Linked DNA regions of Bombyx mori. The protein of the gene in region 1 purifies or fractionates together with the protein of each later gene. This does not show direct contact. Links are inferred from orthologs where the notes say so. Each region holds a gene or a part of one and is shown in the gene's direction. Other genes may lie near its edges.

Region 1 (3,874 bases):
TCAGAAACGTTCCTGGTCCTCACATAGTAATTGTACCAAAATCCACTTTGACAAATTGGATGAACGAATTTAAAAAGTGGTGCCCTTCACTAAAAGCTGTGTGTCTTATTGGTGATCAAGAAACAAGGGTATGTATAATGTTCATTGCCATTTAATATTTATAGCAAAATTTTAATATATCATAATACAAGATATTAGTAGAATATTACCAAAGGCAAATAAAGTGATTAGAATAGCAAAATTTGACTAAGTACATAAATAGTCCTTTTGAAAAGTCTGTATATCATTAATATTCCACATTACACAGAAAGAAGAGAAACCGTTAACAGCCATTATAGAGCAATATAAAACCTTGTATAGAATTGAAAAAAAACATTGTACATTATTATTTTTAGACTTCATTTTTCTGATTATATTGTATTGCACTATTATATGTTTTTTTTGGTACTTGTTCTACAAAAAAAATATGTATGCTAAAAATATATATATATATATTATGCAAAAAACTTGTGTGCAAAGCTTAACCTAGACTAGTTTTCTTAAAACAAATATAAAATAGACATCACTTTAGACTAGATACAAATTAAAAGTATGGTAGGAAAATGGATTAATAAATAAATATGTTTCAGAATACATTTATCCGAGAAACCTTGATGCCTGGAAACTGGGATGTTTGCATTACATCATATGAAATGATTATAAGAGAGAAATCTGTCTTTAAAAAGTTTAACTGGCGTTATATGGTGATTGATGAGGCTCACCGTATCAAGAATGAAAAATCTAAATTATCGGAGCTGCTTAGGGAATTTAAGAGTATGAACAGGTTGCTGTTAACTGGTACTCCCTTGCAAAATAATCTCCATGAGTTGTGGGCACTATTGAATTTCCTTCTGCCTGATGTTTTTAATAGTTCTGATGTGAGTAATAATACAAGGAAATGCACAATGGAAAAAATGCAAAATTAATGAATACTATTTTAATTAAATATTATTTTCATTAACCTTTTTAACATTCAATGTTTTTTTTTCTGATATTCTAGGACTTTGACTCATGGTTTAATACAAATGCAGCCCTAGGTGATAACCAATTGGTTTCACGTTTACATGCTGTACTAAGACCATTTTTGCTTCGGAGACTCAAATCTGAGGTTGAGAAAAAATTAAAGCCTAAAAAGGAATTAAAAGTTTATGTGGGTTTGAGTAAAATGCAAAGAGAGTGGTATACTAAGGTTCTTATGAAGGATATTGATGTAGGTAAGTCAGAATATGTTCATTATGCCGAATAACAATGCCTTAAATGTTTCCCTAAACATAGGTAATATGTTTTCTAGAAATGGGTTTCACCTGTCAAACGGTTAAGAAGTCACAATAAAACAATAGGTAGTTAATATATCCATAGTCTTGAGGTAACTAGGAAAGCATCTGCTATATGCCTTTGCACTATATTGTCCAAGATATGAAATGAAAAGTTTATTACTTAAATTAGTCATATTTAACTTACTTTGGAAATTTACTATAATTTACTATAATCATAGATTAACTGAGAATAAAGTAAATATAACTAATTTTTTCTACAAGTGCTATCTTCTAAAGGAGCTTGGAAAGCATTACAGTGACTTTAACCTTACACAACTGGTCTGAGGTTCTTTTGTTCCATTGGTTTCTTTTCTCTTTACAGCTAATTAATAAATAATACGTATAAGAATAATAGATAACTCTCCAGCTTTAGATCTTTTGTTTCGACATGTCTTTGATATGAACTGTGACGTTTCATGGCTAAGATTTTGCATTCGGTGTCCGAGATACTTGGGTGATGTTGAGTAAGGGCAAGATACATCTACACCTGTTGTCTTAAGTTTATTTGCTTATTAATAAATTAATTACCAATTTGTAATAATTTTATTACCTATAGTAAATGGTGCTGGAAAGGTTGAAAAAATGCGACTCCAGAACATTCTTATGCAGCTACGCAAATGTTGTAACCATCCTTATTTATTTGATGGCGCTGAGCCGGGTCCACCGTACACAACTGATGAACATTTAGTATATAACTGTGGTAAACTTACTATACTGGATAAGCTTTTACCTAAGCTTCAGGAGCAAGAGTCGAGAGTACTTATTTTCTCACAAATGACTAGGATGCTGGACATCTTAGAAGATTATTGCCTTTGGAGGCAATATAAGGTAATATTAAGCATGATTTGAAAAATTTTTTTTGCTAGCTTTTAATCTTTATTTAGCTGCCTTTAAATGTAAATACTGCATCCACAGACAATGCTGTAAATTAACTCTTCATAAAAATAAATGCATAGCATATAACTTAAAGCTATGCAATATTGTAATTTTTTTTATAGTATTGCCGTCTAGATGGTCAAACACCACATGAAGATAGAAATCGACAAATAGAAGAGTATAATATGGAGGGGAGTGAGAAATTTGTTTTTATGTTATCTACACGAGCTGGTGGTCTTGGTATTAACTTAACATCAGCTGATGTTGTTATTATTTATGACTCTGATTGGAATCCTCAAATGGATCTGCAGGCCATGGATAGAGCTCACCGTATTGGTCAGAAAAAGCAGGTGGGTTTAACTTAAATATGTTTTGGCAGATATAATTTTACAACTTTTGCACACCGGTAAGATTAACTATTAGTGAAATTTGTAAAATAATTTATTAATCTAAATGTTTCATAGGTCAGAGTGTTCCGTTTGATAACAGACAACACGGTTGAAGAAAAGATTGTAGAACGTGCGGAAGTGAAATTGCGCCTGGACAAACTTGTAATTCAGTCCGGTAGACTGGTCGACACTAAGAACCAGCTGAACAAAGATGAGATGCTCAACATGATCAGACATGGTGCCAACCACGTCTTTGCGTCTAAGGATTCTGAGGTTACTGATGAGGACATCGATACGATTTTAGCTAAAGGAGAGAGCAAGGTATTGTAATATAATATAGTAGGAAAAAAAAGCTTTGTAATACAACCACTTGCTTGACAACATGTGTTAAACTAGTTTTTTTTTTAATATACTATTATAGACTGAGGAGTTGAAGCAGAAATTGGAGAGCCTGGGCGAGTCGTCCTTGCGAGCATTTTCAATGGACACTCCTGGCGCGACCACCGACTCAGTTTATCAATTTGAAGGTTGTCCTCAAAACTATTTGATAAAGTGAATTTCACTTCAGTTTTGAACTGATAATTTGGTAAAGTATTCAAAAATCTATTATTTTATACTCACAGTGTTAATAATATTATTATGCCCGTTTAGGCGAGGATTACAGAGAGAAGCAAAAAGTTATCCCAATGGGTAGTTGGATAGAGCCGCCTAAGCGCGAACGTAAAGCTAATTATGCCGTGGACGCCTACTTCAGAGAGGCTCTACGTGTATCTGAACCGAAGGCGCCAAAGGTACAGGTAAATAAGTGTAAAGAGCTAAATCGGATTCCTCAGGAGTCCTCCTATTGGCGATTGTTGGTATTGGTATTCATTTAATCATTTATGTAACAGTATTTTGATTAGCTCTTTATACTGGTATTTATGTATGCCTTATATAAATATTTAGCTTACATAGTAGATTATGAATATCTCGTCTGTTTTGTAAAAGACTCTTCTATTTTAATTTTGTGAATTGCATTGGACAAGAATCCGAAGAATAGGAATGTAGATAAACCAAAAACAAAGAATCAAAATATTCCTAATGGATAGACATTTAAGTAAAAGTCCATATAAAAAAAATTACTTTAAAAAAGTAGTTTTCATAAATAAATAAAAATTATTACATTATTATATTATTGATCTAAATTATAAGCAATAAGTTAAAGTTGCAAATTTGTCAACATTCATTCAGAGCGCGTATTATTTACTATGTATT
Region 2 (3,338 bases), on another chromosome or scaffold:
AGTGTCAGGATAGGGACGCTTAGCGTTATAAAATAACGCGTTATATTTTATTAATAAGACTACATTAAGACGCTTGGAATAGTAACACAGTATCGCAGTATATTATGTGCATAGCGGTATTGACCGAAAAACAAAGTTAGACAAAATCAGTGCACATGTCGTAGAATTGTTGTAAAAACCTTTTTCACATTTTTTGAGACACAGGTACTAGGAAATGAAAAAGCTATCTGTTTAGCATAAAGTTTCAAATTAACAGTCACCGAATCTCTATAAAACTTATTAGTAACAAAAAACATAATAGCTTAAAAAAATAGAGAATATAACACGCTATCGCGTTTTTGTTCATTTGGACATCACTATTGTCAAAACAACACTGGCATCAACATTGCACCACGAGTTTGCGCAATACCTCCAAGCGTACCTAACTCAATAAAAATGTATTTATAAATTTTATTTCAATTTTATTACGTACTTAGTAAATTCAACAATTGACCTTCCCTTTTATATGTATTCACGTCATTCATTTTTAATTTTTCATCGATTTCTGTAAAACTAGGTCATTGACCTGTTTAGTTGATTCAGTTGTCAATTTCTATCTAAAAAGTAGATACCTATTATGTTTTAAAAACGAACTAACACGGACAACGTGTCCTTTGATACGCTAATATACGCTTTCATGGTAGTCAATGTATGCCTAGTAAATCTATGGTAAGCCTACTGATATATTTTATTATATTTTCTAAATAATGTTTTTAAGCACACTGGTCACTCGTAAATCAGCTGTTTACGGGTAACATGATAACGAACGCGAAGCTTTTGTGAACTGAAGGCCATGTTATTTTTTAAAGATGAAATTTTTATTGCTGTTCCTCCCTTCAAACCGGAATGCAATAATGCTTTGTGGCAGAAATGAGCAAGTAATTTCGTTCGTTTCTCATTATATCGACATCGTGCAAATCAAATAATTCTACAAACAACACGAGTGTTCGAACCATTGCTTTTTATTTTTATCAACAATCAACAAGGTTTCAAGCGAATTAAATGGCTGATTAAAATAACAGATTATCAGATTATAATAATTTAACCAAAAAATAATAGCGAAAATAAACTTTTACATACTTTTGAGTAATTTATTTTTTGACCGTGAATTATTTTGGATAATGGTGACTGCTAAATATTTTGAGTTAATTAGACGATAAAGTCGATTTCCCACCAAAGCATACAGTTTAAGTTTATCTCATATTGTCTTGATCTTTGCTGCACTACAAGCCCTCTTCTGGTCTGCATTCGTTAAATGGACATTATGCGTCATCATCAATGCGTGCTTTCTTGCCACCAGTGAATTAAAATTATCACGCAATCCTATATTTTTGTAATATTTTTGGAAAACAGATCGCAATGTTTTTATAGCATGTAACGTGAATAAGATTTGAGGTTTTAATTTTGAAGAATAATAGAAACGTTGAATAAACAACAAATAAACACGTGATAACGCTAAATACTAATTGTGAATTCGGTAGGCTACTACACTGCAGGATCTAACTGCTGGTATTGTCCCATCGTTTTATGTAACTTCACCGGGTATCTCATACAGCATAATAATATAGTTTAAGCCACGATACCTATGAAAACTTTGAAAAAAAGGCATTGTATTCCGAGTACCTATTTTTGAGACTTTTTGTAGCACGGCGACAGGCGGCAGTTACTAACCCTTGTATCCATAGATAATACACATAGAGAGTACTATCGTAACATTCGTAACTGTGTATAATCTATAACTGTGACTGTATGCTCCAATCAATGTCAAGAAATGTCATTAGTGCTTCTGGCGGTTAAATTAATGTTTTCATTTAATTCCAGATTTTATAAATAGGAACGTTATAAACAAAAATGGCTGAAAAACTCGAAGATTTGAATTTACCACTCACAGTTGTAACTAGAATCGTAAAAGAAGCTCTTCCCAGTGGCGTATCGATATCAAAAGAGGCGCGAACTGGCCTCGCTAAGGCGGCTTCAGTTTTTGTACTTTATGTGACTTCAGCAGCTACAAATATTGTTAAGAACAAAAAAAGGAAGGCTCTCACTGGGCAGGACGTGATAGATGCTATGAAAGACATCGAATTTGATAGATTTGTGGAACCTTTAGGAGAAGCTCTGGAACATTACAAGACCATGGCTTCGGCACGAAAATCCGCTTCTATGAAGAAAAAAGATGAACAAGAAGACGCTGAGATTATAGAAGACGATTGAATACTACTGCGACTTGAGTTTAAAATGTATAGTGGCGCTTAGTGGTGTATATTCAGAAACTGTGCTGAAAAACTATATGAAATAAGTTCAAAGAACCCATGCCTGTGTTACAAAAGTGATAAATGTTTAAATGAAACAAGTTTCCCATGAACATTTACAACAGTTACCTCGCAATAATTAATCAGTTGGTAATAATGTATGAAGTGTTTTAAAATTAAATAAACTTTTATTAAAAACAAGTAAACTTCAAAAGCATCCCAAAATGAATTGTGTCCACTTACTTTTACATCAGTAAATTAACTACAATTAAAACTTAGAACTTCTCAAAATTTGTTTTTGCAATTTGCTAAAATTAAAAGTATTTTATTTGATTTATTACTGATATTTTTCTAAACTTAATTTTTACTGCCATAAAAATTACTTAATGTTAGGTTATGTATGTATGTATGTTATGTAAATGTTACAATTATTACTAGATCTGGTCACACATCCTTTTAAAACTTGTAATTATAAGAAAATTTTGTTAGAATCTGGCTTTTCTATTATTTTTCAGTATTCTAGAATAGTCTCAAGAGAAATTAAAATAATGGTTATGTTTGTGTGAAAACCTCCAATTATTTTCATTCAATATATCATACAATATTCAATGCCCTGCTTATCTATGGTGGTAGTTCTCGAAACTTGGTAGTTTGTTTTGGCTTTTGTCAAGAGTGGGACATGACAACCAATTTGAATTAAATGATACGAAATATGAATCAAATGAGTCGACTATTATCAAAGCCGGCAATGTGACTTTTGGACAATTATTGGTAAATCAGAAAAACGAATTATTGACTTTGTATTCTGTTGGCAGTCACAAAACTCTTCTGAACGACATCTTAGATAAATAACAGGTTAAGTATTAACCTTTATTTAATGCAGGTTTTGAACCGTATTCTTTGAAGGAGACGATTATATTCAAATCAATCTGTATTGACATATCAATAACATTTTTTTGTCCAAATGCACAGATTGCCACCTTTGATAATAGACGACTCAAATACAATATAACATCATAGGATAAGATTCAAAATAAGTGTTTATAGGAA
Region 3 (4,572 bases), on another chromosome or scaffold:
AAGCTATTATCAGCGTATTATGAGATCTAAACAAAATGCAAAAACATTATACTAACGACATCTGTAAGTGGTCTGGAGAAACAATTGGGTTAAGGGGCAAACGGTACCTATATAGTTGTTACGAGTAAATTCGAACTTTTCGATTCGAAACGGTTCGAAATAAAAAAAAATGTAACCGAAAAGGACAATGCCCAAAAGTGGGCCAACTTTATGTCTAAACTTTTTGTACTTGAAAAACTATGCCTTATTTTTTCACGTGTTTTAGTTTATGTATCAACATTTCTTTCACCCTGGCATTGTTTTACAAAAAAAAAAAATACTTATTTGATAACACCCCAAAACTGAGGTGAATGAAGTTAGCCCCTCAAAAATTTCTTTTTTTCCTATTTTATACTTATTTTCTATTAATTCGTTTGTTCATCATTTGTTCATGATTGTTCACTGTTAATAATTGTTTGTTCTGCAGTTATTTATTTAAAAAAAATATTTAAAAATATACCTACAAGTTAGCCCCTCTAATGCAATTTTTAATATTTTTTCATCCTTAATAACTCGTAAATATTCATTTTCGATTGTTCTTATATAAAACACGTTTGTTCTCTTTCGAAATTACTCGTTTTTTGTTTAATTTACTATTTTTATTAGTTGAATAAATGTATGCAAAATATGTGTACTGCGCATGCGTCAACTATAATGCCTAAACTTTCTACGCGGTTTTAATCGTGAAAAAAAAAACAAATATAAATCCTGAAGGAGCAATTAATTGGTATACAGTTTAATTAAAAAAATTAAAAAATAAATAAATGAAATAATGTGCATTGGCGTTAAGTTAGAGCAAATACATTTTTTCCATCCTCCTACTTATCGTTATGAAGGTATAAAAAAGATAGGGAGTTCACATAGGTAATATAAACAAATAAGTAAATATGTTCATTATTTATCTTTCAAGAGATAATATAGGTATACATTATAATAACTTTTTTACACAGTCGAAATTATATTCCTAACATTAGTAAAATAACATTTTAATACGATAGGTAAGAGGATGGAAAAAATGTATTTGGTCTAACTTAACGCCAATGCACATTATTTCATTTATTTAATTTTTAATTTTTTTAATTAAACTGTATACCAATTAATTGCTCCTTCAGGATTTATATTTGTTTTCTTTTTCACCATTAAAACCACGTAGAAAGTTTAGGCATTATAGTTGACGCATGCGCAGTACACATATTTTGCATACATTTATTCAACTAATAAAAATAGTAAATTAAACAAAAAACGAGTAATTTCGAAAGATAACAAACGTGTTTTATATAAGAACAATCGAAAATAAATATTTACGAGTCATTAAGGATGAAAAAATATTAAAAATTGCATTAGAGGGGCTAACTTGTAGGTATATTTTTAAATATTTTTTTTAAATAAATAACTGCAGAACAAACAATTATTAACAGTGAACAATCATGAACAAATGATGAACAAACGAATTAATAGAAAATAAGTAGAAAATAGGAAAAAAAAATTTTTTTGAGGGGCTAACTTCATTCATCTCCAAAACTGAGTATGGCACAGTTTTTAAATTCGCCAATAGGCAAAGGGCTTAGCCCATACAGCCTTATAGTAAACCTATATGCTGCCAAACGAAAGAGTTGTCTGTGACTTGAACAACAAATTAAAAAAAATAGCTAATGGTTATAATTCACAGACTTTTTTAGTTTATTTTTGTTCAATTCAATTTTTATATATTGTAATAATAATTATTACTTTATATAATTATTTTTAGATATTAATGATTCCATTAGTAAAAATCTCAATGGCCTACCATTACTCTATTCTTATTAAATAATATGATCAGAGAGTTTTGGCGGCAACCCGAGTGAAGCGTCACTTGAAGTTTTATTTTAATGTTTTTTAATAGTTTATTGTGATGTATAATATATAAATTGGGTGTTGTTTTGTGTATTAGACGTCAATAATCGTTGTTCACGATTATTGAGGAATTGGAATAAAACTGTGGCTAACATAGCAGTGACTGTTTTTTTTTTCAAGATAAAAGATCTGCGGAAATTCACGCTCACTCACTTTGGACCCAACAAATCTTACAGAAAATTAAAATATTTAATGAGCAATGTTCCGCATGCCTTTCCGATTTACAAATGAAACAAAACAAAGTTTTTGATTTTGACGTTTAGTTTTGACTTCAGTTTAAAATGCTTAGAGATTCGCGGTCTGTTTTAAATAATCTATTTGAAATGAATTTTTAATAGTTCACCTATAAAATATTTCTAGTTAGTTTGTATTTCCTTTCGACTAAAACGATGGCTACCCCAAAAAGTGAAAAAGATCTGCATTTGCCCCTGTCCAGGGTTAAAACAATAATGAAAAGCTCACCGGACGTAGAAGCAGTTGGTCCAGAACCACTATATTTAGTCACTAAAGTTACAGTGAGTTTTCTAGAGGTTAACCTAAGTTAAACTAACCTAAACTTCCCAAGGCGATTTTTTTTTATTTATTACTTCGACGGTTGAACGTGCTCACGACCCACCTGGTGTTAAGTAGTTACTGGAGCCTATAGACCTCATCACTGTGTGAATGTCTCTACCCAACATGAGACATGAGGTTTCAATTGTATAGTGTAACAGCTGCCTCGCCCCTCAAACCGAAAATCATTACTGCTTCGCAGCCGAAATACCGATGTGCGCCCTACCGTAATGACTAGTTTTATGCAATTTTTTAAAATTTTATGAGTTTGATTTTTATTACACCAATTACTCCAATGATTGATGATATTCTATTTTGAATAGTCTGGACAGTATTTTATAGTACAACTGAGACTTAGATCTTATTTCGTAGGTTCTTAGAGTGGTGACAATCACATTGTGATAGCTATGGACTCCGATAAAGATTATAATCACACTAATTTCCAGGAATTGTTTGTAATGGATCTAGCAAAGAGGGCACACAAAAACAGTAATGCCAACTTCCTAGAATACAAACATATTGCTGATATTGTTCAAGAGGATGACACTTTAGACTTTCTCAGAGAGATCATGCCTCGAAAGATCACTGTGCGTCAATTCAAAGAGATGATGGCCAAGAAAGCTGCCAAGAACGGTGATGATTCAAGTGAAGACTCCAGTGAAGACAGCAGTGAAGACTCATCCAGTAACAATGAACAAGAGTGATAAGCTGTAAGTTAGAATAATTTAATTTACTAAATTTTTACTAAATTTTAATAAATAATTTAATTTAAGGACTAATACACTAATTTAGTTTTAAAATGCGTGTAGTCATAAATACTTTTCTCAAATATATTTAAGAAAAAAATTACATGTAAAGATCCTAAAAAAGTAAATAACTACACTGGAATTACTTGATGTAGAAGTCTAACTCATCAACCCTGGCAGTGATTTTTCGAATGTTACAGACTAAATCTTATTTATTTATTTTAAAACATAACAACATTCCCAATACACCAATAGTGGCCTGTTAGTGGATGCACAATGTTTTAAATAATTTAGCAAACTAGATGATCGTGATTTTAATCTTCAAATGTTATAATTTCAGGAACTACAAACACTAAGGGACAAATTCACAGACTGAAGAAAAGTGAAGAATTTAAACAGAAACAAATGTTGAGTGTCTCCTAATCTGTGCCAATAAGCCTATTCTGGCGTTGGGTTATTTTTATTAACTTAATTTTACAAATTGGTTTCTTTTCTTTCATGAAATGTAATAACATTTACAAATATTGTGCTCGTCAAGTATCATTTAATTGTGTCATTAAATTGATGATTGTGTCATTAAATGATAGAATTCTGCCTTTGCATGTTGTTTGTTAATCAAAATGTTATGCAATTAAAATTTGTATTACTTATGATTACTTTAAGTTTTTCAAATATTAAAGTGAAATAAATAACAGAAAGTTTATAAATTATATTGCTAAAACTTTGATCTGGTGTAATCTAAAAGTAATTGTCATTTCATGGACCATCTCAAACTATTTGTTGTGTGACACTTTTATCAAATAATTTCAACTATAATTAAGAGCACTGAAGTATGTTTCTCACAATATCTAAGGCATACAGGAGTATAATTGAGGCCGTCAACGCAAAAGTGGCCTAACCCACAATTTTTCATAATCATGTTTATAATTATGTATATTGCAATCTATTTAAAATATAATAAATTTTGATGCAAAACTGGCATATTCATAGTTTCACCCATAGGTAATAGATGACTGTAAACATTATTTTTGCCCCTATTGTTTTTTGCGTACTCAAATTTAAACTCGTGAAAATTTAAATATCTCTGCTCCATAATAACTATGGTAAGCTTTGGCCACTTTTGCGCTGACGGCCTCAATTGTCACATGAAGTTGGAGTTTCAACCATACAAGTGATTGAAACTCCAACTTCATGTGACAATTGAGGCCATCTGGACTCATAATTGCATTTGATCTGTGCTTAGTGCGAGTTTTGTAGATGTAGATTAAATATAGAATGAATTGTAAACATTTCATGTGAGTGGGATTTTTATAACTACTATTTTTTTTATTATTTTTGTTTT
Region 4 (3,874 bases), on another chromosome or scaffold:
ATTTGACGTTCACCAAATCCTTCCTCACATAGTGTACAAATGGCGCTTCGCTGTTCTAGTCTAATTTGCTTGCGTCTTACCAGCCAGAAGAAAAAGTACGGTCAAAGCAGTAGTCGTAATATTGTGAATACCGACAATATGAATATCATATCCTTCGCGTGCCAATGGTAAAGTGCGACTAAATAAATAAAGTCCTAAAAGTTAAAACTAGCAAAAATATTTAATAATACCACACCATTGCATAAAAGAAAGCAGTCGACGGATTAATTCATAAAACACAAGTTTCGTTAAAATCAAGGAATTTGAGAAATCTATAACATGACATGATCCTATTGTTTTTGTGTGAACAACCTACTACATAGTGTCGGCGATGTTCTTTTTTGTATAAAAACAGGTGTGCTTCTAAACTTTTGGACGGTAGTGTAGTTTGTCTAGATTTAATATAAACTTAAAGTATGAGCTAGCTGACTGATTTTGTTGTTTTATAAAAAACTGCAGAAAATAGAATCACCCAAAGGTAAATTAAAATCAGCATTTTAATTTGTTTTTACAAGAACTCTGGCAACATCTTGCTTATGTTGTACAAATTAAAACTTAATTACTTTGTGGAAATATAAGGATAAGACATCCCCTCAAAATTCACAACAAAATTAGTAGTTTTTTTAAATTGTGAAATTTATATACTTTATTGACGAAATATTGTTAAAAACAAAAATCCGGAGTTAAAAATGCATTCCATTATAAATAAATTCAATACCAGTCAACTACCCTACTTTTTATAATTTCGAAACGACATTACAAAGTACCTACCGATATCAAATTGAGCAAGACCATCGATAATCATGTATACAGCATGCCTGGATGTCCTTTACGTTCGAAAACACAGTTACTATTTTAAATTGTAGGTTTTATTGACGTAGCATTAACGATAGTTTTGCTTCAAATTTTATTACAATTTCCATGTTTCCATGTGTTGACACGGCTTTAAATTCGGATGGCTTATTTGTTTTTTTTTAAACTGCCTAGATAACTTTGAACGGATCAGAATTTCTTCTACGTTCACATGCAATACAAGTTGCAAACTAAATCCAATATTAACAATAGTTTCTTCAGTACTGAAAATAATTAACATGCTGTTCATGTTATTATTTTACATATTAAATATAGTGTTAAATCCATATTCTACTATTTGTTCATAGATTTACTGATGGCCTCGTTTTCTTCACGTATTACGAATTAATAAAAAGTAAAATAATATATGTATCTAAAATGTAATTAAATTGTTCTGCCATTATACTTTACAAAGTCGTTCTATTTTTTACCTAAAACGAGAGATCATCGGTAAAACTTCTCGTAAGTAGCTGTAAAGATTACAATATTTATTCAATTTCTGTCAAATCATGATGTCTTTAAGAGTCTTGAAAATTTAATACACAGTCATATGAAACAGCTGTGTTGTAAAAGCCCACCGAAAATGTTCCTGAAGACGTATGAATCATCAGATTTTAAATAGTCAAATAATAAAAATATGGAAGTTTTTTTTCTGTAAATCTTATGTCCATAAGCGGGCTGATGATTCAATGAAAATATTCGTATCGAGAATTGCTCATACACCACTTTTCATGTTTTAACATTTAAGAACAAGTATTGAATTAATTTAATGAACACATTTTAATAAAGCATTGAAACATATAAGTCACTGTCTTTTATTTGATAGAAACCTTTTATTATTTTTTTACTTTTTTAGTTTTCATTTTATGTGCAAACGTTTTGTGGGGGTGTATGGGCAATTCATTAACATTTATCTAATGAAAATTCTTACACAAAATCAGATTAAATTCAATATCAATTGTTAAATTTAAGTTATGTTTGTTAAATATATTCCCACAAACGTGAGACAATGTATTTTTATTTATTTCGTATTGCTGTTAAATTATTTTTAATTCTTTTAGTGTAACGCATAAAAATCATTAGACTGGTGTAATTCTACTTTTAGGAAAATAATGATCCAAAACGACAGGCGCTTTTGAATGGCGAAGACAATGTAGCCGATGCTGCCGTTCACAAAGAAGCGACTCCATTTAAACAGGAAGATATTAAAGAGAATAGCACTAAAACTGACTTAGTTAATGCTAACCAAGATCGTTTGCAAAGTAACAAATTCGTCCTCACACCTGACTACATTCAACAAAGTAAGTTCAAATATTTCTAACTTAACTTCGTGAAATGAGTGTATTTAATAAACAGCTATTTAATCGACAATTAAATTTCCTATAAAAATTCCGTGATTTTCGTGTCAACTGATAATTTTAATAGTCCTACAAATATTAAACATGAATATAGTTAATCAACGAAAATACGTCAACAAACGGCGTCAACATTCATTGAAGTGCTTGACTTATTTATCTATCAACGGTCGCGTTGCGAGAAAGCGTCAAATAATTCTTTACTCAGTGCTCACGAGGAATTTAAAGGCTTATATTAAAGGACTTTCATGCCTCGATTTAACTTATACCTCCTATAAATATTTTAAACTATTTAACTAAGCGTTTTCAGTTGCACAGCACTCTTAGCACGCGAAGAAAAAGCTATAATAAAGCTATATTATAATTATTATAATGGGCCGCTAGACGTAACCATAGCGAGATTCAGGAAACCTACCTTATCTATAATATTCTATTATATAATATTCTATAGGAAACCTACTTTATCTATTGAGTGTTGATGAAATTTTATTTGGTGCAAACTGAAGACCCCGTTGTTATCTTATAAGGAAAGAGTCAATTTGGGATTCAATGAGATTTGCAGTTTCGAGCTTATTCAACAAAGCCGTAAGCTCTGTTCAAATTTTTATTACATCTGTGACATCCGTCATTGGTGATATTAGAAAAATTTGTAGTTTTACTATTTGCATCAGTCCGTCCGCAAGTTAATCAGGATTTTTCTGATTAAACGAAATGTGTTTCAACTACATGTGTAGTAATGCTTGCCTGGCGGACATAATAATATATTTCAAACAATTTCACTGAATTACCAAATTTTAATATATATATCGACGCTTGAAAGGCAAACGTGACTAAGCGACAATAACTGCTTTGTACATAAATGATAGGCAATAACCATATTCGATGCGCAAAAAAAAATTATTTCTAGATCTATTAAAATCATTTCAATCCTACAGCTAGATTCGTTATAGAATTTTTTATCAGGTATTTGTCAGGTATATGTTAAATTAATTTCAACTTTATATTAGTCTACTGTAAATTTCACGCACTGTCGCTTAGTCACGTTTGCCTTTCAAGCGTCGATATATATATTCAGTCCCAACTCAATTGGATAAAAAACGCGCCAGCGATAAACCACGTAGCAACAACAACAACGCTCAAACCGCCAACCTATAAAGATCATATTTTAATAGGATGATGACATTAATAACTTCTGCCATATTTTTTTTTACCCATAAAATGTTGTTAAAATGGGGGGACACAACTATTTTATTGATTTGAGTGGATATGACTAAGGGGTAAATTTTTTACCTTGAAGTAACTTTAAATTTCAAGTCATGTCCCAATTGAGAATCTGACCTCATGTCTCAAGCTGAGTTACGGCATTCACATCGTTATATCTATGGGCTCCGGTAATTAACTCCAGCTGGAACGTGGAGTTGTTCACCCGATCATTCAAGATAATTGAATACCTCTTGATCCAAATAAACAAGGTCAATGTTATGTCATTCCATATTGTATAATAATATGATTTTAAAGTTGATATAGCTGAAGTCAAACTTTTTCTATAATCTATTGTATGTGTATATTAATCAAAGAGTGAAATAAATCGTTCGGTTTTGAATTTCGGCTGATAAGAACTTCATTAC
Region 5 (4,438 bases), on another chromosome or scaffold:
GACTGAAGACTACCACGTCGTTGGTCACCAGCAGTTGATAAACACGCTAAGTCCTGGAGCTGTACTGCAATCAGAAATCGAAAGTTGGCCCCATTGGCTTGATAATGCTCGAAAAGTACTGGGTTAATATTTTATTTACACAACGAATAGATCGAGTATTACTATAATCGGACTTTATATTACAATGAATAAAATTAATTGAGTAAATATTCTGTTTCGTTATTTAGTTATGAATCTGAAATGTTTGAATACATGAATTTCAAAAGCCGTATAGAGACTTGGCTTGGCTTTGCCGCTGGTGTAGATAATACACATAAATTAGAGATAAGAAACTCAGCATTCAACAAAAATGTTTACAGGCGTCGGCCACTAGATGGCTTCGCTTCGATTAGTTTCTAGTATATTTCCTTTTCTCAAGCATTCAACAAAAATGTTTACGGGCGTCGGCCACTGGATGACTTCGCTTCGATTAGTTTCTAGTATATTTTATTTCTAATGAAGGATTTTGTAAATTTTCAGAAACCACAATTTGATAAAATTTAATCAATTTGTCTATAACAAATAATGATGTATTAACTTTTTATTTTCTGTGTTTAGTCACACAATAATTAAATGCCTTAACTTTAACAATATACATATAAGCTTAGGGGCATCTGCTACAAGATGTCGCTAGTTTCCATACAAAAAATATTTGTCTTAAAGTATCACAATTTCGGGGCCCTGGCCGCTGGCATTGTTGACGTTGACGAGCGACGATAACCACTTATCCTCAGTTGAGCCGTATACTCGTCTGCCTAGAAGGGCAATATTATAAAACTCAAGATACTATTAGTTATATCTGTGTGAAACGTAGAAGTTAAGAAATATTTTTTAAAGAATTATAGACCGTAACACAATAATCGTAACGAATATCATCGTGTCGTCCGTGACTACTAAAACAGTAAAGTAGGTATTCGAACCGACGAAACAAATAAAATGAAAATACTATGTAAAAACGAGATTTGAAGACAAAATAAGTTTTATTTTAAAATAACGCCATCTAGTGTTTCAATATTAAATTAGGACCAAGTGTTGGGGTCGAGTTCATAACGTTGCATTTAAAACGAACACCAAGACACATTTTATTACCACCAAGACAAATTATTATAAAGAACAGTCTATAATAGGTAATTGGAGCCAGCTATCATTTTTTAACAAATTTATTTACTTTATCGCAATTGAATTTCGATAAAAATTCAAACTACGACCTTACGTTTCATGGTACATAATAATATTATTATGATGCGTGGGCACCAAGAATTATGCTTTAATACTTATCTTTATTTAGTTGAGTAGGTCCTGTAGTTTATTGTAAAAATGAACTGAGTTCTGTATAATTTATATAGATGGCGCTAACCTAAGTTAGGTAACTCATACTTGAGCAACCATGAAAATTTGATATTCCCTATTCTTTTGCTACAGCTGTGAAAATGAAACCAGTGGTAATTTTCTCTGGATTTAGTAAACTATGTTTAGTATCTACTAAATGTTGTATATGAAAGTGAAACACGTTTGAAGACTAGGCAAAAACGCGAGAGGTTATGTTTTTGTGAAAGTTCGTTAATTAGTATACATATTTAGTTTTGTTTCGTTTCGTTAGCTTAGTATTTCTTCTGATTTAAATTTGTTATAATGATGTCTTCATAACCGCTTTAACATCTGTGAAAATGTAGAGGCAGGAAAACAAAGAAAAACTTTGGACAACTTTTCGTTTTCCTACAAAAGTATTTGATAGAATTTACAGAATATTAACTTAAATTCCCACCATATTATTGAAACAATATTTAATTTCATTCCATTATCAATTTTACATTAATTAATAATTAACAATCATTTAATTCAAGTTTGTTACATTTTTCATTATTAGACATGACTTTGACTATTAAAAACATTGGGCACATTTATAAAAATTGGGCAGTATACTGTAATACCTTCGCCTTTCTCGTTTTGGAATCGTTGACATTTTTCTTTGGATTGACGTTTTAACATGTGTTGCTATGAAAAAAGTATTATTCAAATTTCTTTTAATTACGATCCTATGCTTTACACATGTCACCGTGTTTGCTTAAAGTTTGTTTATAACAGAAATTGTGTGGAAAGTAAGAAGCGTCTATAATTGAAGCAATAATGCTTTTCGGTTTGAAGGGCGAGGTAGCCTTTGTAACTGTAGTGAGACCTTAGAACTTATATCTCAAAGTGGGTGGCGCATTTATGTTGTAGATATCTATGGACTCCAGTAACCACTTAACACCAGGTGGGCTATGAGTTGATCCACCCATCTAAGCTATAAAAAAATAAACTAAAGAAATGTTTAAAAACATTCACTATCATATCATTCGTTTATGGCGTTAGCTAGTAATTTTTATCCTATATTTCTATGGATTATTAAAGAATGCCTATAAGGACACGGTCCATTGCATTTAAAGGGAGGGAGGGACCGTTATTCAAGGATCCACAGTCCAGAAAATTGTCGAATAGTTAAGGACTTATATTTGTTGCTTGTTCTATAAGTTTTGTTTCTATAAATGTCTGATCCTAGTATTTGTGACAAAAATGGCGCGGGCAAGTTAAAATTGAAAATATCAATTGTACCAGATTTATATGAGGGATAATTTTCATTTACATTCATTTGATGCACTAATAGAAAAGGGAAGAAAGAATTATCAAACTCTTTAACAGAACCCTTCACAAAATTTGCAATATAAATTACAAAGAAAATTAAAATCTCGCAATACTGCCACGAACATATAAAGCACAAGTTTGGTGTTTTGAATAAAAATAATGAACTTCAAAAAGTTTAAGTAAAAACTAAATTTAACATTAGGATATTTGGTTGAAACTTCTCTCGTCTTCAATTTCATTAGTTTTAAAATATTAAATTTCACATCTAGCTTATAGTTTTTTTAAGATTACGTTTATCTGAATCATACGTGTGTCCACACAAAGATACTTTTAACAACTTTGACAGTCCTGTAAACTACTAAAATGAATTTAACACTGCCGAAAATTACGTAACAAATTTCGTATTCTTTTTACAGCTTACCTTGGTAACCCGTAGTGGACTAAAATGTCACTTTCACGTTGCGTTTGTGCCGCAGCTGTTCCGGTTTGCCGGTCGATAGCAAGACGATTGTGCGCTGTTAAAGAACCGACACGTGTAACTTGTTCAATTAATTCGACTGCCACACTAAAAACTCAAGTAAGGATGTACATCGTAGAAGAAAGAGGATCACCTTACACTCCTGACTATCGTGTATTCTTCAGTAAGTCTGATAGTGAGAATAATAGATAAAGATAAAATAGTACTCGAGTCGAGTGTGTCGCGTGTCTGAACATAAACTCTCTTAATCATAGTCATATTATAGTTTTAAGTGTTTGAACTTTGAAGTTCGAGGTAATTGTTTTTAAATCAAGTTCAACCAGAGTTTGTTGAAATTGGTTCTTAGTAATGAACTCCGTTTAGAATTCACACAATGTTTATTAGGAGATTTAATATCTATTTCGTTGTTTTAAATTTTTACAGCAATTATCACAATAAGACCTTTAGACTTTAGAAAACTCTCAAGCAATATTTGTTGTTACACAAGTCACCATAATAAAACCCAACAGTAAAATTTTATATTGCTAACATGATAGTGCTACATGAAATTCGGGTTTTTGATTTTAGACTTTTCATTTATTTATAGTTTGTAAATAATATTGATTTATTTTTCTAAACTTAAACTATAATTTGTACAAAAGTAAGGTAAAAAAGAAGAACCGTCAGAAACTACTAAAACTTATATTTTCACTGTACGGTAATAATAAATTTTGTTTATTTATAATAATTGAATAAAAAAATAAAGATGAATACAGTTTAAAACAATGTTTTATAGGCAAACTGAATTCAATTCAATTCATTCATTGAAACAAAAGTCAACTTAACCAGCTGAACTGACTTAGCATATTAATCTCATTTCATAACTGCTAGTATGTAATTCAACAAAAAACAAATTACTTTTATTATGACAACAATTTTATATATTAAATAATTATTTTTTTATATTTCATGTGTAGAATATTTTCCATATTTTTTACCAAAGCACAGGATAGAAATTTAAAACAATAGTAAAATTTGTTTTAATAATAAAATTGATAGTGTAGTTGATAAACCTCGGGTGGTAGCTTTCACCTCAAAATAAACGCAATGTGAAAGCTGCTACTTTATTCCTGATGTTGAATTATATTAAAATAATCTCTTTCTTGCTCTTCAAAACGATTGCAGAAAAAGGATAGGCTACTATAGGATATTACTACTAATACAAGTAAATGCCTACCACAAAGAAATTGGATTCATAACTTGTTTATTCCAAAACAAAGTCCAAAGTAACGGTTATTATTGATAATTAGCTGATGTTAT

What was found.
Region 2: the proteins of chromatin-remodeling complex ATPase chain Iswi (region 1) and DNA polymerase epsilon subunit 3 fractionate together in Drosophila melanogaster (co-fractionation; 4 studies listed by BioGRID, with this or other methods). This does not show direct contact. The link is inferred for Bombyx mori from reciprocal best matches to the Drosophila melanogaster genes Iswi and Chrac-14.
Region 3: the proteins of chromatin-remodeling complex ATPase chain Iswi (region 1) and chromatin accessibility complex 16kD protein fractionate together in Drosophila melanogaster (co-fractionation; 4 studies listed by BioGRID, with this or other methods). This does not show direct contact. The link is inferred for Bombyx mori from reciprocal best matches to the Drosophila melanogaster genes Iswi and Chrac-16.
Region 4: the proteins of chromatin-remodeling complex ATPase chain Iswi (region 1) and nucleosome-remodeling factor subunit NURF301 purify together in Drosophila melanogaster (affinity purification with western blotting; 7 studies listed by BioGRID, with this or other methods). This does not show direct contact. The link is inferred for Bombyx mori from reciprocal best matches to the Drosophila melanogaster genes Iswi and E(bx).
Region 5: the proteins of chromatin-remodeling complex ATPase chain Iswi (region 1) and uncharacterized protein LOC101741235 fractionate together in Drosophila melanogaster (co-fractionation; 4 studies listed by BioGRID, with this or other methods). This does not show direct contact. The link is inferred for Bombyx mori from reciprocal best matches to the Drosophila melanogaster genes Iswi and Nurf-38.

The regions. Positions count from the first base shown.
Region 1 is NC_085119.1:7,662,103-7,665,976, forward strand, and holds part of chromatin-remodeling complex ATPase chain Iswi, read left to right. Parts: intron 1-4; coding exon 5-128; intron 129-629; coding exon 630-917; intron 918-1,039; coding exon 1,040-1,253; intron 1,254-1,911; coding exon 1,912-2,183; intron 2,184-2,353; coding exon 2,354-2,581; intron 2,582-2,695; coding exon 2,696-2,941; intron 2,942-3,041; coding exon 3,042-3,147; intron 3,148-3,271; coding exon 3,272-3,417; intron 3,418-3,874.
Region 2 is NC_085130.1:7,455,865-7,459,202, reverse strand, and holds DNA polymerase epsilon subunit 3, read left to right. Parts: upstream 1-1,765; 5' UTR 1,766-1,890; coding exon 1,891-2,250; 3' UTR 2,251-2,779; downstream 2,780-3,338. UniProt on the Drosophila melanogaster protein: Accessory component of the DNA polymerase epsilon complex. Participates in DNA repair and in chromosomal DNA replication. Histone-like protein which promotes nucleosome sliding of ATP-dependent nucleosome remodeling complexes.
Region 3 is NC_085111.1:17,749,476-17,754,047, reverse strand, and holds the start of chromatin accessibility complex 16kD protein, read left to right. Parts: upstream 1-1,733; 5' UTR 1,734-2,321; coding exon 2,322-2,447; intron 2,448-2,930; coding exon 2,931-3,188; 3' UTR 3,189-3,194; intron 3,195-3,570; 3' UTR 3,571-4,572. UniProt on the Drosophila melanogaster protein: Histone-like protein which promotes nucleosome sliding of ATP-dependent nucleosome remodeling complexes. Part of the chromatin-accessibility complex (CHRAC) which uses energy/ATP to increase the general accessibility of DNA in chromatin.
Region 4 is NC_085116.1:8,917,952-8,921,825, reverse strand, and holds part of nucleosome-remodeling factor subunit NURF301, read left to right. Parts: intron 1-1,996; coding exon 1,997-2,192; intron 2,193-3,874. UniProt on the Drosophila melanogaster protein: Histone-binding component of NURF (nucleosome remodeling factor), a complex which catalyzes ATP-dependent nucleosome sliding and facilitates transcription of chromatin.
Region 5 is NC_085115.1:3,630,273-3,634,710, reverse strand, and holds the start of uncharacterized protein LOC101741235, read left to right. Parts: upstream 1-1,541; 5' UTR 1,542-1,577; intron 1,578-2,941; exon of another isoform or gene 2,942-3,077; 5' UTR 3,078-3,106; coding exon 3,107-3,302; intron 3,303-4,438. UniProt on the Drosophila melanogaster protein: Component of NURF (nucleosome remodeling factor), a complex which catalyzes ATP-dependent nucleosome sliding and facilitates transcription of chromatin.